2 linked regions of the Oreochromis niloticus genome follow. The protein of the gene in region 2 purifies or fractionates together with the protein of the main gene of each other region. This does not show direct contact. Links are inferred from orthologs where the notes say so. Each region holds a gene or a part of one and is shown on either strand. Other genes may lie near its edges.

Region 1 (9,450 bases), on a different chromosome or scaffold from region 2:
GATACCTGAGTTTAGCTTATAAATAGCAAAGGCCATGACAGCTTTCAATAATGTGAAACTACTTTATATAGACACACTGTTAACCAATAGTGAACTAGCAAACTTCTTTGGATACAAAAACAGCTTCCATCAAAACAGAGACATGTTGTACAATCACACAACTCAGAATGGAAATAGGAGCTTGATAAGCTTTACAGGTATTTATTTATGCATTTACTCAACTTGACTTAATGTGAAACCATGCATGATGCCCTGCAGGTTAAATTAGTAAGGACTCTTTTAGAAGAAGCTCTTGATTTAAAGGCTCTCTGAAATGATAAGCGTCAGATCATATTTCTGAAACCTTCACAGTGTTGCATATTATCCTGTTACAGCTCATTTTAGTTTTTTTGATTGAGCCTTCAAAAAAAATGTGGCACACCATCCATATTTTTTGTTTTCTTTCCAACGCAAACAGCAACACAACCTTGTGATTTATAACAAATCACAAAAAACCTTTTGCTCTGATATGCAACAATTCTATTTGCAATGCATACAAATGGTCACCAGGCAGAAATCAGCTTAACTCAAATCTGTATCCTGAATTTCCTTTAACCCACCTCCTCTGATCTTCTTTGCTAAAGGAGGCCGATTTGCTGTGCTGAGAACTGGGTGGGGCGCGCTGCTGTGGGCCTTGCTGAGATTGAGAGCCTGAGCTGGCACTGTGAGAGGAGGCTGAACAAAGACAACAAATGTTCAAAGGACAAAACTATCACACAAGGTAACAACAACACTGGCACTTTTGTGGCTTACAGCTTTACTGTCAAAATAGGGACAAATGCACATGTATAATTAATGCTATATAATCAAACATAGTTGAAGTTTACATTTATATATATACATATATAGTTTGTATGAACTGTAGCTCAAAATTTACTTTAGGTCAGACATTTAGTTGACAGTGAATATGTGTTATCTTATCTTAAAAGAAGTGTAAAACTCTATAAATTTTCTTGCAAATTTTGACTACTTGAAAAGCAACAGTCAATTTCAGTAAATTAAATTCCACCAAAGAAAGAAAGTAGTGACTTTTTTTTTCTTCTTCAAAGGAGGACACCACATCTTTTCCCTGGCTGCCAAAATCATTTCACGCTCTCAGTTTATTCTGACACAGGTTTCCAGTTAAAAAGCTGAGGCAACACGTTTTTTTCTAAAAGAAGTATTTTCTCGTGAGGTTAAACACTATCAGCTGAGGTGATACGTGCGTTTACAGATGAGAATCGAGAACCAGTTCCAAATTGTCTACTCCATTCGAATTGTATGTGTCAAAGTTTATCAAGTTCTCACACGATGTTGGCACATTGTACTCGCAATTGCACATGGCAGAACAATGATGCCAAATTCACAGCGGGTGAGGCTTTTTGTTTTACACCTGAGTTTCAGTCAGTGTGTTCACACTGAGAGATAATAAAACTGTTAATGCTGAGACTCCGTGAAACCTACCCCCACAAATACAGAGAGAATAAACTGTCAGAAATCAAAAGGGGAATAATTAAAACAAACTGGTCTGTAAGCAAACTCGATAATGGCGGAGGCATCAATAAAATTTAATCTCAAAAATGATCACTACCTGTGTTTGTCTGAGGGCTTGAGGCAGGTGATGACGTGCGTTCTGGGGCAATGTTGGCAACTCCTCTCATTCTTTGCAGAACATCTTCTGACAGCTGGACAAACAGAGTCAACCACAAATCATATCATATACATGACGTGTGTTATTTATTTAAGAGAAAACAACATTTGTGTAATCCTTCAGATAAAAAACAAACAAACAAGAAAAACATGCCATTAATAGAGGATCACTGAACCTCTAGTGTTTGTGTATCTGTATGTGTGTGTGTGTGTGTGTGTGTGTGTCTTTGTGTATCCAGGGAAGTCCTTAAGCACTACTACCCCAAAAACCACAGAAGGGAGCACTGACTCACTGTTTCTATGAGTCACACTGAATGTGCAACCAAGGCAGGCTCTTTTCTTACAGACATTTTAAAAGCACTTTGGGTGCTCAGAGTAGAAAAGCACTACATAAAAACTGGTCAACTTACAAAACTGCTCACAGCCATTGCATGTCATTGCATTCCACCACAACATATTAATTTTTGACATGCTTCATTTTCCAGTGGTTGTTTTTCCTCATAATGTTAGGATATTTGGAGGCACACACCCACACCAGCTGATTTTCTGTATGTGTGTGCATGCAAGAAGAATAACTTAAGAATTTTAATTTGCCACTTAATCACACACGCCAACAGGCTAAAGGTGAAACGAGTACACATCAGCATCATTATGACAATGCAAGAATCTCCACAAACGAGTTCAGAAACGAAATAAACATGGTGGTGTATGATTATCTAACTGATGTTGTCAGCGCTTGACAGATGACCGAAAGCTCAGCAAAACTAGACATGCCTATATCCTGTTCAAAATCATTTCTAATTGTTGTTTTGTATATTATCGTTTCCTGTTTTAGAAGACGACAATTTAGTTATATATGCAACTGCATTAGTGTTTCACTGGTTTCACTTACATACACTAACTCGCTCTACTCTTAGATGTTCTAAAAGTATAAGCTAAAGTTAAAAACATATGTCCAACAGCACGTGAAAGCAACACTAAAGAGGCGTCAACTCCATACCAAACCTCGTTTGAAATTTGCTCATTTAAAGCCATCCACTTCTAATTACACATATGGTTAGTTAAAACAACATATCAGGCAGTTATGACATTTATACGATTCTCCCCGTTTTTTCGATACACACTTACTGTGCAGCTGACATGTTCCAGTAGGATAACAGCGTTCTTTAATGCTCTTTAATGCAAACTAAACGTTTTATCGCGTTAACGTTGTTAGCAAATGCCAGCGAGTAGGTGACAGCTAAAATGTTTAATTTCGGGTAATTAGTTTTCCTGCTAGGTGGGCAATGTATATGCCGAATTTACCTTAAGGTCCTAAAGTTTTCTATATTTCTTAGACCATCTCCCTAATGTATTCCTTTACTTGTGAACAAGGAACATTACTATTTTCACCTTATTACCAATGGAGTTTGGGGTAACAAAAAGATTTACGTATTTCAGCTCTTTCAGCAACCTATCCCACCCTCTGCGTCCCTTTGCACCTCCTCATTTTAGCAGTGACACTCTACCGGTCGTAGACTGATAGCTTGAACAAAGCAACAACTTAATTTGACAATAGCCAGTCAGTGCTAAGCGACACATTAAAGTAATGCTAGCATGGCTTCTCAAGTGCTAGCTAAATTAGCATTACCTTGACTCCACGGAGAATTCTGACCCTGTCCTCATCGTCGACACCGAAGGACACTTTTCTTGTTGTACTCTCTCCCGAACCCATGCTTCTGCTGCAAACGCACAGCTTTCGTGGTGAGAAAAATGTTTATAATATGAAATAATGTTGCTGTCCTGCCCAATGACAGAATGTGAGACAGATGGGATGGGTTGCCAGGTTCTTCGTGAACCATCCTCCTCTTGCACATGTGTAAAGGTCAGATCGTGCGTTGGCAAGAAATGATAAAATTGCGTGTGAAAACGAAATTGTTAATAAGAAATTATTAGATGTGTGTTCTGGGGAAAGTCATATCAAATGCAAATTGCTTAATCGCTTTTTTTTTTTTTAAATCAAGGATTTACAGGCACACCTGGCAACTCCAGGGTCATACTTGAATGGCTGAAATATCAACAGCCAATCAAAGGCTATATACGGCATAGATTATTTCTATGCACCTGTATAAGTATTGAGACAAAGTTGGTCACAAGACGCACAGAAACATTGCCAGATAAGTTTATTTGTAGAATAAACACAAAACATGTCTCAGTTTGTCCCTAAATGTCAGCGTCTGCGCACACCAGTGTTTACTGTATGGGGGACAAACACAACATTCAACACGTTACAATAACATTTACAAAACACACAAAATGAAAACATGATCTTGTGACATAAATGTTTATGCCTCAAGATCTCACAAAGGTAATAGGCGCCTGCATTGATAAATCTACTCTATTAAAACACCCTAAGTATGAACAACAAATTTTTGTAAACAATCTCATGTGATTGTAATGCTAAATGTATACGATGCAGCAATGCCAGGCAGCAGACACATTGTTGGTTTTTGTGTTAGCTGGAAGGCAGTTCACTTGGCTGACTAACAAAGCAATTTCTATGCAGGACGTATTCACATCCCACTGCTCAGTGTGATCCAGGAGTCTGGTGTGTTTGAATGTATACCGAACGCCGGGTAAACAGGCTCTTTAAACACAGCCTTTAAGGTGTGGAGGTGCTCCCTGCGCCCTTTGGTGCTGTGGAACGTCAAAGTTCCCCCCTCATAGTCCAGTGTGACCTCAATCTTGACCGGTGGTGTGGTCACTTCCTTAAGGACCACATTCGAGGAGCACTGGCACACTGTCAGCTTGCCATTTTTCCACTGCAGCCTCCAGGACACAGTGTTGTGCCCCAGACGGCTGTGGTCACCACGGCGAGGGATGCTCTTGTAGCACACACCCAGTGACCACATGCTATTGGGTCCCACTTCTACAACCCATACGTGCTCGCCGCCAGAGAAACCCTGGCTGCACAGGATCTGAGGTGTGCTCGTGAAACGCTCGGGGTGCTCCGGGTACGACTGCTTGTTGGAACTGTATTTGACTGTGCGCAGATCGTTGGACACCAGCAGGTTGGGGTGGGCGGTGTAGATGCTGAAGGTGAGTTCCAGTGGGTTGAGGAGGATATGAAGAGAATCCATGAGGCGAGTCATTTCTGTGCAGAAGTCTTGGGTTTTGAGGCCTCCCTGCAGGAGCATTGTATTGAGTGGAGTCTTTGAGGGGATGTAGGAGGGAATGGCACTGGTGACAACATCTCTCAGCTTTTGTTCAATCTGCATGAACCTGGAGAGCAAAGATTTATTGTTACTTACCCCACTCATCTAGCCATATGCCATGGGTAATAAACAGAGAAGTGTCAGTTTATCAGTAAGAATACTGCATCATTTCCACTTTCTTGTCATTTGTACATTGTTCTATGTATTTCTTCTTTTTAATTGTAATAGCAGGGCAGATTTCTGTACCTGTGTATAAAGATGCATGTGTCTGTCTCATTGAGGACCTCTGTGGCGCTCTTTTGGGCCTCCATCAGCTGCTGCTGCTGCTCCTCAAGTGCACTCATACCTAGCTGCCAGCTTTTGCGGCGCTGTCCTCTCTCCTCCTCCAACAGCGAAAGCAGGCGATCCCTGTACCTGTATCACAGCACAGCACACAAGTGAAGAGGACTGGTCAGTTTTATTCCTTTTATTATCGCAATGTTACTAGACAGAATCAGGTGGATCGATTCATCACTGTGTCTGCTTTAGAGTTGTACATGCATCCATACAATGAGAAATACTCACAAAGCTCAGAAAATATTCACCAGTCTAAGTTTTAATCTGTGCTAATTAGATAAGGTTAGCCAGCTAGCTAGATCATTTAAAAAAAAATCAAACAAAAGAGCTAAACAGATAGAATCTAATGATGTATGTGAGTTTTTTGTTTTGTTTTGTTTTTGTTCTTTCAGTAAATACCTGGTACTGAGAAAATGTCTGTGAGATGAAACTGGCTGAAATGCTGCTGGCAGGCTACTTAAATGATAAGCAATGTGCTCAGAGGCACACCCAGAAGTTCCTGAACTTCCAGAAAGTTCCAACCCTCAGCACGAACTTCCATATATTTATTCAGACTGACAACATATGACATAATAAACTCCCCCAAGAGTCCCTAAGCCCCGGGAAAATTCCTGCTATGCATGCTCAATATTTTTATTTAGCTTAAAGTGCAACTAGCTCACACACAGCCTCACTAATGTGACTGAGCTCTACATTTCAGTCTTACTGCCTCACTTCCAAAGATATACTTTCTTGAATGTTTTCTTGAACTTAAAGTAGAAAACTAGCCTTTTGTACTCTTTACTCTCAGTAGATTTAAGGATTTATTTTAAAATCCTCATATTTACATGCAGAGTACTAAAAGGCCAGGCTTCAGATTATTTATCTCTCTGTTGAGAATGTTATTGATTGCCTGTTTATTTCATTGCTTTTTATTGACTATTATTGTACTTAATGTCCTTTTTTATGTGGACAGTGCTTCAAATCTGTGTAAAGTGGTTAATAAATGAACTTACTGAAGTATTAGGGTGTTATAAACACCCTTGAATCTATCCCACAAAACAGACACTGGTAGGCTTAAAATGCAGATAAACTGCATTCATTACATACATGCATGCTACATTCTTTGAGGGGCCTGCGTTTTGGTCTGTATTTTTATTTGCTGCTGAAAATATGAAGCGCATCCTGTAAATTCGCTTGTCAGAGAGAAGGTCCGGAAGGAACACTGTTCTACCACCTCTGAAATATGCAGTCTGGGTTTTCCACACCTTTTTTAAGCCAATATCATTTGTCATCTTGCTGTTTGAAAACGTACTGTGCATGAACATTTCCTTAATTACACCACATGCTACTTTTTAAGGCAGTGTTACTAGCAGCAAATGTGCAGCAGGTTACCTGTCCACCAGAGCACCTATGCTGTCCATGACTGTCACAGCCTTGCTGACCATTTTGTCTCCTACAGCTTCAGAGGCTCCCTGATCCTCTGCTGTCTTCTGCAGGAGTCCCTCTGTCAGCTGCAGTCTACTAGAAATGACCTGCAAACACACATATAATATGTTTTAAGATCTTCTGTGTTTCACACAACAGGATTCTTTCTATTGTGTATAAGCATAAAAGATTTCAGATCTGGAAAAACTGGATGGCCTTTTCTCGTAAGTGGCTTTCAGAAAACAAGTAGAGAATACAGATCTATATATACATATATGTAGTACTGTAAATGTCTGTAATGTTAAGTAATATATGATCATGTTCCATCAACATTTGATCATTTTCTTGTCCAAAATATTAATTTTTACATTCTGACTTTGTACTTTTACAGTGTATGTATAGCACGACTCTGCCAAAGGTCATCAGGTTATTCCCATCAGACAGATTTGTTTTGCATACCAGATCTTCACCACTCCCCGAAAATGGCAGTGAGTCACTGAGGTGCCAAGCCCTTAATTTATATGTGAAACAAGTTAGGTTCCCATGTCTGTGTCCCATATGCATAGAGCACAGTCTTTTAAACATTGTTCCAAAATTATATTACAGGATTTTCAGGTTTTGGCATTTCTCAACAGTAAGTTCCCTCACATATTTTTATAGCATGAATCATGCATTTGTATAACTTGAATATTTTATTCATCAGTATACAAGCCCTGGCTGAGCACTACTTTCACTTTTGTGCATGCTCAGCTGAACCAGATGTGGCCACATTTTGTAGGTTATCAATTAAAAAAAAATACATATATATATATATACATATATATATATAGACATAATAATCCCCCTTCCTAATATTTAATGCTACAATATAACAGATATAACAAAAATACCTTATTTCGGGCCTCCAGCCCTCGTCTCATCTCCTCTTCAGCTATGCTAAAGGTGAGAACATCGTGGCTCTCGTGATGGCCCTCTACGATGCATGTGGTGCACAGAGAGATCATGTCGTTGGAACAAAAGTACTCAAGGGGACGCTGGTGGATGGCACAGGCCTTCACTCTCAGCTCCGTCGTGGGCTCCACCACGGGGTGGGTCCTGAACAACTCCTTCTCGTTGTGTTTCTGAAGGTGTCTGGAGCACAGAGACACCTCACACTTCAGGCAGGTCTTCACGGCGGGCGACTGCTCGTCTATGCACTGATCGCAGAAAACCTCCATTTTGGTATCCACGCAGTCGGCTTGCATGTTCAGCAGCGGCGCGGTGGCCTTGTAGTTCTCAATGATGCTGCGAAGTTTGAAATTTATCTGCAGGTTATCCATGCCAGGATACTCCTCACGACATTCTGGGCAGCGCGGCAGGATTTTGCCAGTCTTATCCGTGCTGTCAATAGTCTTGCGGATACAGGATAGACAGTAGTTGTGCCCACAGGGGAGAGCCACCGGGTCAGAGTAGAGCTGAAGGCAGATGGGACAGCTCAGCTCGTAGGCGAGCTGGTCCTCTGGCTTTGACAGCGACATGATCCGAGGTGGTGAGACGGGTAGCTGCTTCTGTTCGAGCTTAGTTTCTCTTCTTTTGTCAGGTCTTCTTTAAATACCTTTGACTAATCTTACTTCATTTCTCCTTTCTTATCACTTCTACTTAACCGTCAAGCCCTCAGGTGAGTCTATACAGAACAGGCCAGAAAGGCAGTGAGTGCATACTTATCCGACCAGGAGGAGGTGTATCCACAAATGTTTGCAGGACAACATTCCGTTCTAAGACGCCTTGTTTGCTGTGCTGCCAGGAACTGACACCATCATACTGGCTGCTGTTGACGGTTAAAATAGTTCTGACAAATCATCAGAACTTGTTTTAGGAAAGAGGTATGAGGATGCTGAGTACTGCTGGATACCATAAAGCATGAATTTTGGTTAGATAATACTTAATATGTGCAAAAGAGAATCCATTTGGGGGAATTAAATGCTTTCACTTTCAGTTTCTTTAAAAAGTTCTACAACCTATAAAGAGTATCACCAAGCTGAAGGGAGAATTGTGGCTCTGTCTGGCAGTAGCTCAGTTTTGTTTCATTTTGGGGATTTAAAGAGAATGGACATAGAGTATAGACGAACGTATCAATCATACACTCACATCCACTGAAATATCTTGTTGACTGTAAACACTGCAGGGGGAGACTCATGATTTCCACCAGGGTAGGTAGTGTTTAACAAAGAAACTGTTTGCGATACACTTTTCCACCAAAGTAGCAGTCACCCACGGACAAAAGGTGAAATGGAAGAAATTTTTCAGCAAAAGTAAAGATCTTACTCTAAAATTAGCCATCCAACCATTTCTAAGAGCTTTCAAATGTTTCCAAAATAGCCGACAGCTGCAGGTGCCGCATCCGAAAAACACATCACATAAGCTTTCAAGAAGATACTCGAGCAAAAAAAAAAAAAAATCTTTTCAAGGTTGTCGAGTTATCGGACGTGTCAAACGTGCACTGCTGTATAGTACATGTGGCATGTTGCTGATGAGCATCCTACCTTCCTATCATTATAGCGTCTCTCACTACACTCCTCAGGTGTGTTTTCCAGAATATCTGTTAGATAACAGTAGCATGTATTTTTTCATAAGGCAGCTGGGACAGACGCCTGCTAGCAGTTTGTAAAACTGAGTTAAGGGTTTACTTTTTGACCACTGTTGACAAAACAACCACATTTTCTCCCGTTCTTGCTTCACATTTGTATCACATTATTGTAATTGCCTGTTTAAATCACTTTACAGTAAATCACACATTTTTGGAATTTGTTTCTGGTTAAAAGCTTCCCCAACAGCACTTTAGACAACTCTGAGCAACAACTAGCGC
Region 2 (8,912 bases):
GCTACGTGATTATATCTGGAATAAGAATTTTAAAAAATCAACTCATTTTTATTTTAAATATATTCTTAATATGGGGCTTCACCCAGGCCCATCCTCATCATTACTGAACACAAAACAAAATAAAAGCTGTAAAATAAATAAAATAAATTTAAAGCGGTCTGTAAACCACCTCTGTTCTTTGTTTTTACAGTTAATCCAAATCACGTGGGCCCGGAGCCAAAGAGGTTGCGGACGGCCTACACGCGACAGCAGGTCCTGGAGCTCGAGAAGGAGTTTCACTTCAGCCGCTATCTCACGCGCCGCCGCCGCGTCGAGGTGGCCCACGCGCTCTGCCTGTCCGAACGGCAGGTGAAGGTGTGGTTCCAGAACCGGCGCATGCGCTGGAAGAAAGACAACAAGCTGCCCAACACCAAAGGAAAGAGCAAAAACAAGAAAGCGACCGACAACAACAACAACAGCAACAGCAGCAGCGACAGCATGAAGACGGTGATAACTGTCTGAACACACAGGAGCGCAGAGTGTGGCAGTCGAAGCAGCCATGGTAGCACCTTCATTCTCCAAAGCTGATGTTGCTTAATTTATCCAGGGTGACTGCAGTCCTCAAACAATTCTCACCTGCTTTAAAGTTGCAGTTTTGACGAACACAAGTTTATAAATTCCATGATGTATTTTTTTCCCTTGTTTTTAACTTCAACTTTGGAGCATTTTAATTTTTTTCCTTTTTTGAGGTTTCATCCATATTGAATGTCATAATGAATGAATGAATGAATATATTTTAAGTTCACGGAGACCCCGACATCTCTCTGGTGCAGACAGGGAATTGCTTCATATTTAGACATCCGATGAAGACGCAAAAACATAGTGCTCGTTTGTTGCGGTGGCAAAATACTCGTGACTGCGTTGAACCAGGATGAAACAGGGTTTTCTTTTCTCTACAGGGTAAACATAATACAGGGTTATAGAACAGCTACCTAAAAGCTGAAAAATCCTAATTTATGAATATGCACGTTACCAAAATGTTACATAAACTGGCGCTTAGAGGGTAGGTAGAAGAGCAGAAACACCAAATTGCGTGTTGAGTGACTGCACAAATTATGTTTTAGCTTTTGATTTTGTACAGAGAAGCATCCAAAAATAATTCATATTTGGAAGGAAATTAGCCATATTTTTTTCTTGGATTTTATTTCCCACATTTATAATTTTTTTTTTTTTTTTTTTTAAAAGAGCCAAAATGAAGGTACAATTTTTTAACGCACACACCTGACTGTAAATCCAACTTCTTTTCTCAGGGTTACAGGGTTTTACAAAGAGATCTTTTTTTCTGAAAAAGCTTGTTTGATTTAGCACCGAGGATTAAACTAGCCCTCTGTGAAATACCATGATGTTGCGTATAAATAGGTATGTTCTCTCTTTGATTCCAGTTTAATATGCTATCGATATCTATCATAGTCTACGCCAGTACTTATGTTTAATTTGTACTAATTAGAAACATATTTTATTCTTTCTTTATAGCAAGCATCTTCGCCGTTATTTTTTCGTTACTTTTGAAAAAAAATGTGTATTCCTGTAATAATTTTATATGTGGAAATGTTTTGATAAAAATAGATGAGAAAAATAATAATAATAAAAAAAATTCAAACATTAAAGGTGTGAATATTTGTCTGTGTTGGAGGATAAGCGAAGGACCGATGATTCTGTTTTTTTTGTGGTGGTAGGGGAAGATGAGGTCGGGAGAGAATCAACGGAAGTGACGTGTGATTAGAAACCATGAATTAAAGGCGAAATCGTGATATCCATTTTCGGCTTAAGAAAATAAATAAATACATAAAATAAATAAATAAAATACGGTGTCATCTTTAAGCAGCACGGTCTTTGTCGCAGTCACAACTTAACGGGGGCTCATGATATAGCCAAGCCAAGACTAATGTCTAGTGCGTCATGGCTCCGTTGACACGCTTTTAAAATGCATGCACGCTGTCCCACGGGTGGATTTAGGTTGATCGTCACAGTTTTCTAATTTTCGAGGAGTTATTAAAAGCAGTTGAAACTAAGGAGAAAATTTGGCCTTAAAATATTTAAATTTCTGGGTATTCTGTGTCTTTTACTGTTTTAAAATTTTTGGGGATGTAAATTATTATGTTATGAGACTTTAGTATTGTCTATGATGATATCTTTGTTTAGAAGTTTATAAATCCCCGATACAATAATTCGGGTCCCTCGTAGATCTTGTTTGTCCAAATCGCGAATTTTAGTATGAATATCAATTTAAGTGAAATTGTTTGTGCCAGGATCAAGATTAGCGGTATTTAGGCCTATGTGTATAGTAAATTTACGGGAAAGGAACGTAAATCAAAGTAAAATCCCCTGAAGTAGTGGAATCATGGCTGTGTGTATTTGTGTGTTGATATGTAAGAGAAATGAGCGCTGAGTGCCAATAATTGGTGGCTTCCGTTCGAGACTCGGTTACATGTGCAGGAAAGGCACAAAGGGGCTGACACGGAGCAACCTGGATTATCTATCACACGAAGATCAACCACAGAGCTGCCACAGTCATGACAAAGAAAGTTCAGATCTTCACTAAAAACAGAAAAGCTTCTGAAGTTCTGCATGTCTGCAGTTTGAGATGTTACTCAGGGGAATACCACAAAACAACGTCAAACATCTGGAATTCAAAACCTGATCCCACTAAGACACGCGTGATTACAAACGAGATGCAATTATTCCTAAAATTTCACACCACAAATTCACACGCATTCATGTATTTTATGTATATTTAAATAGACAGAAACAGAATGCAATAATACTGAACAGCATACTTTGTAGATATGCATGTGTTTGTGTTTGTGCATGTACACCTACCCATCTTTCTCTAGTCTGTGATGAAACAGGAATGCCCCCGACTGGTAGCATTAAGTATTACAGTCTGAAAGAGAATTTTTTTTCAGGTTAAGATAAATAATATTTTTCCAGTTAAGAAAACATGGAAATATTTACATTAGAAATACATGGATATATTTATCATTAGTCCTTTGGATTAACAGAAATGTGTATAATACAATGTAATCAATGCTAAATTAGCCTTAGTAATAATAAAGTAAATGAACCAGAAACATACACATCTTTGCAAAGGTTACAATTTTGGGTTGTTACATCTATCCATGCATCATAATGTGTCTCAGTTACTTTGTCCACCTGTGTTTGCACTGTGAACACACAACAGTAAAAATGTACAACTACATCTACCTACAAGTAAGACTTTTAAGACGGGAATGAATGTTGGATATTTCTCACAAGATTAAGAGCATGGCAGGTCACTTTAAATACAGTCACGTGTTCGATTGTAAAGCTTAAAACAGGAAAGGGTGAGAAATGTCACGAGAATGAAACAGTGAAGCATTTCTTATTAAGGTGTGGACAATAACATAGCTACAGAAAAACAGAAACATGGGTGTGCCACAGGCTTGTTTAGATATGGTCGAATGCAGCAGCATTTTTCTGCAAATAGTCTGGATTAATAAACAAAATTTAAAAGATAAATCTTTAAATAGGTAAAGTACAGTCGCTGTGACTTTTTTGTAAGTTTTTAAAGATAAAGTTTTTATCTTTTATTTGGACATTATCTGTCTTTTCAGTCGTTTTCCTTGTACCTGACTATCTTTAGAGAAATGTTTTTTTCTTTTTGTTGTTTACATCACTTAACACTGACATATTAATCATTCAAGAGTAAAAAGTCATCTCACAAGGGACGAAAGGTGTGTATCAAAGAACTAATTTGGAATAGCATTTTTAGGCATTTAGTCTTTTTGCACCAACAATGCAATTCCCAAACACCTATTAGACAAAAACATGGGATGTCTCAGCATGCTGAGCAGTGTGTAATTAAAAACTATCTCCCACAGGTGAAAAGTATCTGAAAATCAACTGACACAGGATGCAACAGATGCATCTGACCTTTCAGTTGATTCATCTGTTTGCAGAAATGATCTCAATGGAAGGAAACCAGGAACAAAAGGCTGATGTATGTCAAACTATTGAAGAACTGGACTGAAAATCAGTATTCACTGGTCTTATGGAGTGATGAATCCAAATGTGAATTTTTTGGTTCATCCCCAGTATAAACAGAGATCATAAGGAGACAGGTACAACAGTGAGATGCTACAGCCATCATTTTTGGGGGCTCCATTTCAACCAGTAATGTTGGGGATCTTGATGGATGGAATTATAACTGCAGAAAAGTACAGTACATTTTTGATCCACCATCCAGAACCTCTGGAAAGCAATTGATTGCCAGCAGCTTAATTTTTGACAATGATCAATGACAAACTGTCAATGCAGTAAACGCATGTCTAGATAGAAAAAACACATAATGAAACACTATCAGTCATGGATTGGCCTCCCCAGAGCCCAGACCTCGACATTATTATAGCAATGTGAGATCATCTTGACAGAAAAAGCAGCCAACATGCAAAATGGAATTTTGAGTGTCATTAAAGAAGCCTGGAGAAGTATTCCTGATTAAAGAAATTACAAGAAAGGCTAAAACTAATACTGTGTTCATAAACTTGGTGGAAAGGAGGCAACTCCTTGAGGAGACTTTTGTTGTGATTTGGCGCTATATAAATAAAATTGAATTGAATTGAATTAAAGAAACTCCTCTGAATTAAATAACAATACAACAAAAAAGCAAATATAATAAGACAGCAACAATAAAATAGTGAGCAAAATAACGAGTATATTAACTTTGCAGATATAAAGGTATAAACACACAATACAGTTCTGCTAAAAATCTACACTTGTCAAAGAAGGATATTGTACTTGCTGCTAGGTAGGCTAGGTAGCAGCAGCCATGGAGTGTGGATGAATGCATGAATGTTACAAACGCTATTAACCTAAAATTCACACTTAGGTTGGGCAAGACACCAAACCTGCCCAAGGATACTTAAACATGCAAACTAGAGAAGTGTGGGATTGAACCACTGCCCTCTATCTCCTGAGCCACAGCCACCCCACACCAACAGTCAGATAAAATCCATTCACATTTAGGTTTTGCTGACTTTGCCCTCCAAATGTATGTTTTCTGCCCTGGACGTTATCTCTTTAATCCTATGTTTGCTGTAACAAAATTATCACATAGATTTCAAATAATGCTTCTCTGAGTCCATGTCTCTCTCACTCTGACATGATGTGTCTGTTTTAGCCAGTTTTATATACACTTTTTTGTGCGGTTAGTTCTTTTCCTTAAACCCAAATAAAAAATGCTACTTTAATAATATGTATTTTTCCATGCATCAAAAGCCCCAATTATTTCTAGTTAAATATAACAATATTGCTACAGTAGCCTGTATGCGCGTCCATAAAGTGGAACTAAAAATTAATGCAACCGTTTCTCTTACGGACATCAATCGCAGGCGGACCGGTCAGTGACTGCAGAACAAGTACTTGCCCTTAAACTTGCAAGCAGTGCTGTTGCTCAGATCGCTCATTATTCTAATCATTATTTAACAATAAGAGTACAACAGCAGCACTATGTCTCTTGCGGCAGAGGCGTTCATGTCGCAGATGGCAGGTAATATGTTGACTTCACCCCGTTTTTCTAGTGATTATGAATAACATTAGCCAGCTAGCTACCAAGAGCTAGGGTTCACAGTAACATAGGCTCTTTACAAATGTAGTTACTTACATATATGGACCTTTAGCTGTTACTATAGCTGCCTTTGTTCGCCTTTTCTTGGTTTCTTAAACAAAGACTGACTGGCCTGGAAAACCCCCAAAGCACTCTGTCATTCTGCATGTCGTGGATTGCTTGGCAGGTGTAACACAGGAATCTAATGTAAATAGCGCCATATTTCTGTTTACTGTTAAAAGCATAAATCAGCAGGAGAACGGTGAATTCAAGCGGAAACGGCTCAAGAGGGCTAATGTTAGTGACAACCCCGTATCGTTACAAAATCGGCTCAAATCTATCAATTTTAACAGAGACATGCTCAGAGATTCCCCCGGTGGCTGGAGGCTGTACTGCAAGGACGGCGGTGTAACAGCATAGGTCGTTGAGTGAGCACCGTGCGCCCCGTGTCTGAATTCTTTATAATCGTTTATCAAATAACTTTATATGAGTAGAAGTGAAGAAGAGGGTGCAGTCAGGGTGATGTGGATGGAGATGAGTGTCCGGGGTGATTTATGTCAGAAGTGAGCCAGAGTGAAAGGGAAGGTCTGCAAGATGGTAGTGAGACCTGCTGTGATGTATGGTCTGTAGACGGTACACTAACAAAGGTCAGTGGTGCTAAGGTTTTCTTTGGGAGTGAGCAGGATGGACAAGATTAGAACTAAGTATATCAGAGGGACAGATCAGGTTAAGGAGTTTGACAAAGTTAGAGAGGTGAGGCTGAGATGGTTTAGATATTTGCAGAGGAGGGGTAGTGAACATGGAGCTGGCAGGCAGGAGGAAAAAAGGAAGACCACACGAATGGTCATGGATATAGGCTAGGAGGACATGCGGAGAGTTGGTGTGAGATGAAGGCAGATGATCCACCGGGACGATTGTTAAAGGAAGAGTCAAAAGTAGACAAAGAACAATTAGTAAAAGAACGTTGACAGTCGATCCCACAAGCAACATTATAGGTTAATGAGTCACATTATCACCGTATAATTGTGTGTCTTTCCCTGCATGTCTGTTTCTGATGTTGACAGCTGCTGAGCCGTGGCCTGAAAATGCAACCTTGTACCAGCCACTGAAGGGTGAGTTAGTGAAATGGAGGCACAAACATAATGTCAATAGCAATATAGCTATTTATATATTTTGTTATTTTTGCAGAGGATCAGATTCTCCTGTCGGACTGCGCCTCATCTCTCGCTGTTCAGGTAAAGCAAACATACATGTACACACATTACACACCTTGCTCAATGTAATGTTTATTTGTTAATTACTCGGCCTGTTGTGCTCAGGAAACAAGGAAAGCTTCTGAACGTTTTAGTGGTTTTAATTCAAATATTTAATACTATTTTCATTATTTAATTAATGAAAACTGAACTTGTATAAAAGCTTTCAGTTCTTCATTGCACAATTTTGAACATTTAACCAGCACAAAACTGATATAAGATAACAGATGAACATTGGCTGCTGCCGACAATTTAATGTCAACGTATTTGGTGTCTTATTAGTTGACTGCCAACTAATAAGATACTGATATTAGGTTGTTATACTGCTGAAAATATATACATATATTTTTTTTAATGCATCAAGTATGAAATGCAGTTGTTGATATTATCTGTATTTGACCTTTTGACCTCTACTCTGACTTTGGATTTGACCTTACTCATGGAAGGAAATCTGCATTGCTGCAAAATAAAGTTAACTGATTTTTTTAAAAGCATATCAAAGTATACCACAAGTAATATTTTTCATTTACTTTCACAGTATGTTTAGTTAATGCATTCATCCGAATGAATGATTTGAGACTGGGAGGAGATGCAAACCCAACCTCATGGCGTTACACGCTAGTGTCCTCCTAGTGCTTTTTTCCTCAGCTGCTTAATTCTGTTGTGTTTCTGATGTGCAGGCGTACCTGAGGATGTGTGGTCTGCCAGTTCAGGTGGTCTACAGAGCAAACGCTGAATACATGTCACCTTCTGGTAAGTACACATGCCGCTTCAGAGACAAATTCTGGGTGTCTGATCTCAATACTGTGTAATCTCAGCACTCATACTGCTCATTAAAACATTACACAACTGTACACTGTAAGCTGGTTTGAAAATTGTTAGTTAGGATTTTAGTAGAAATTTTAGTCTTACTCCGCTATAAAATGAAATGCTAAGTTTGCTTCCAGGTTTCGTGTAGGTGCATCTGGAAGTTACTTTGTTGCAGGTTAGCGTTTTGTGTTGAATTAAATGTGATGATTTTAATGCCCAGCCTTTTTATGTTTGTGTCCATAGGTAAAATTCCCTTTATCCACGTGGGCAACCAGGTGGTGTCAGAACTGGGGCCGATTGTGCAATTTACTAAAGCCAAGGCAAGTGTTGTACAGATGAAAGCTGTTATTGTTTCTTTTGGCAAATTCTCTTCCAGTTTTTCCCAGTAGAGGAGCAGATTTTCATATTTCTTTCTGCTCTTGTCTTCTTTTGGGTACTTAGGGTCATTCTCTGAGCGATGGCTTAGATGATGTTCAGAGAGCAGAAATGAAAGCGTACATGGAGCTGGTCAACAATATGCTGCTTACTGCTGAGGTATGAAAAACATAAAAACCATAACATACTGATACTAGAACTTCAGCACATATACAGTTTTTATGAGTGTGTCTGAGAAATATCCTCTCACCCATGTCCTCATCTCTCTACAGTTGTACATTCAGTGGTGTGATGATTCTACAGCCACTGAGGTGTGTACACCAGGCTTTAATAAGTTGTTGTTGTTTTTTTAAAGTCTTGATAACCTCCTAATCAGCTGTATCTGTTTTTGTAGATTTCTCGTCCCAGATACAGCAGTCCGTACTCATGGCCTCTCAATAAAATCCTCGCCTACCAGAAGCAGTGGGAGGTGCGCAGGAAGATGAACGCCATTGGCTGGGGAGGGAAAACGTTGGAGCAGGTTAGCAACAACCTGGAAGTGAAAAGCTGTTTTGCCAGCACTACATTTCCCTTTCTGCAATCAGAAAAATAATTTCATATCTTATTCTTTTAAAGGTGGAACTCTTCAAAGTTTTACAGAATTGATCTTTTAGACTGTTTGAAGGCCCTTAAGTATAACTTATTTGTGTATGTAGGAAAAAGAGCCCAGTCTGATCGTCAACATCAGACTGTCTAGAAAAAAAATAAAGTAAACAAACATGTTTTAAAAGTCTTTATGTCCTCATGTATTTCAGGTTTATGAAGATGTGAGTCAATGCTGCCAGGCTCTCTCTCAGAGGCTGGGAACACAG

The links.
Region 1: the proteins of mtx2 (region 2) and chchd6a purify together in Homo sapiens (co-immunoprecipitation; 3 studies listed by BioGRID and IntAct, counting the BioPlex papers as one, with this or other methods). This does not show direct contact. The link is inferred for Oreochromis niloticus from reciprocal best matches to the Homo sapiens genes MTX2 and CHCHD6.

Annotation. Positions count from the first base shown.
Region 1 is NC_031984.2:29,250,452-29,259,901, reverse strand, and holds the start of chchd6a (MICOS complex subunit mic25a), read right to left. Parts: upstream 3,518-9,450; 5' UTR 3,383-3,517; coding exon 3,299-3,382; intron 1,704-3,298; coding exon 1,610-1,703; intron 715-1,609; coding exon 600-714; intron 1-599. Other genes in the region: E3 ubiquitin/ISG15 ligase TRIM25, read right to left, coding at 4,221-4,929, 5,109-5,276, 6,573-6,712, 7,496-8,122. UniProt on the Homo sapiens protein: Component of the MICOS complex, a large protein complex of the mitochondrial inner membrane that plays crucial roles in the maintenance of crista junctions, inner membrane architecture, and formation of contact sites to the outer membrane.
Region 2 is NC_031978.2:6,921,640-6,930,551, forward strand, and holds the start of mtx2 (metaxin-2), read left to right. Parts: upstream 1-5,419; 5' UTR 5,420-5,526; coding exon 5,527-5,566; intron 5,567-5,680; exon of another isoform or gene 5,681-6,681; intron 6,682-6,687; coding exon 6,688-6,735; intron 6,736-6,811; coding exon 6,812-6,858; intron 6,859-7,556; coding exon 7,557-7,629; intron 7,630-7,929; coding exon 7,930-8,006; intron 8,007-8,127; coding exon 8,128-8,220; intron 8,221-8,333; coding exon 8,334-8,372; intron 8,373-8,455; coding exon 8,456-8,581; intron 8,582-8,855; coding exon 8,856-8,912. Other genes in the region: homeobox protein Hox-D4b, read left to right, coding at 191-501. UniProt on the Homo sapiens protein: Involved in transport of proteins into the mitochondrion.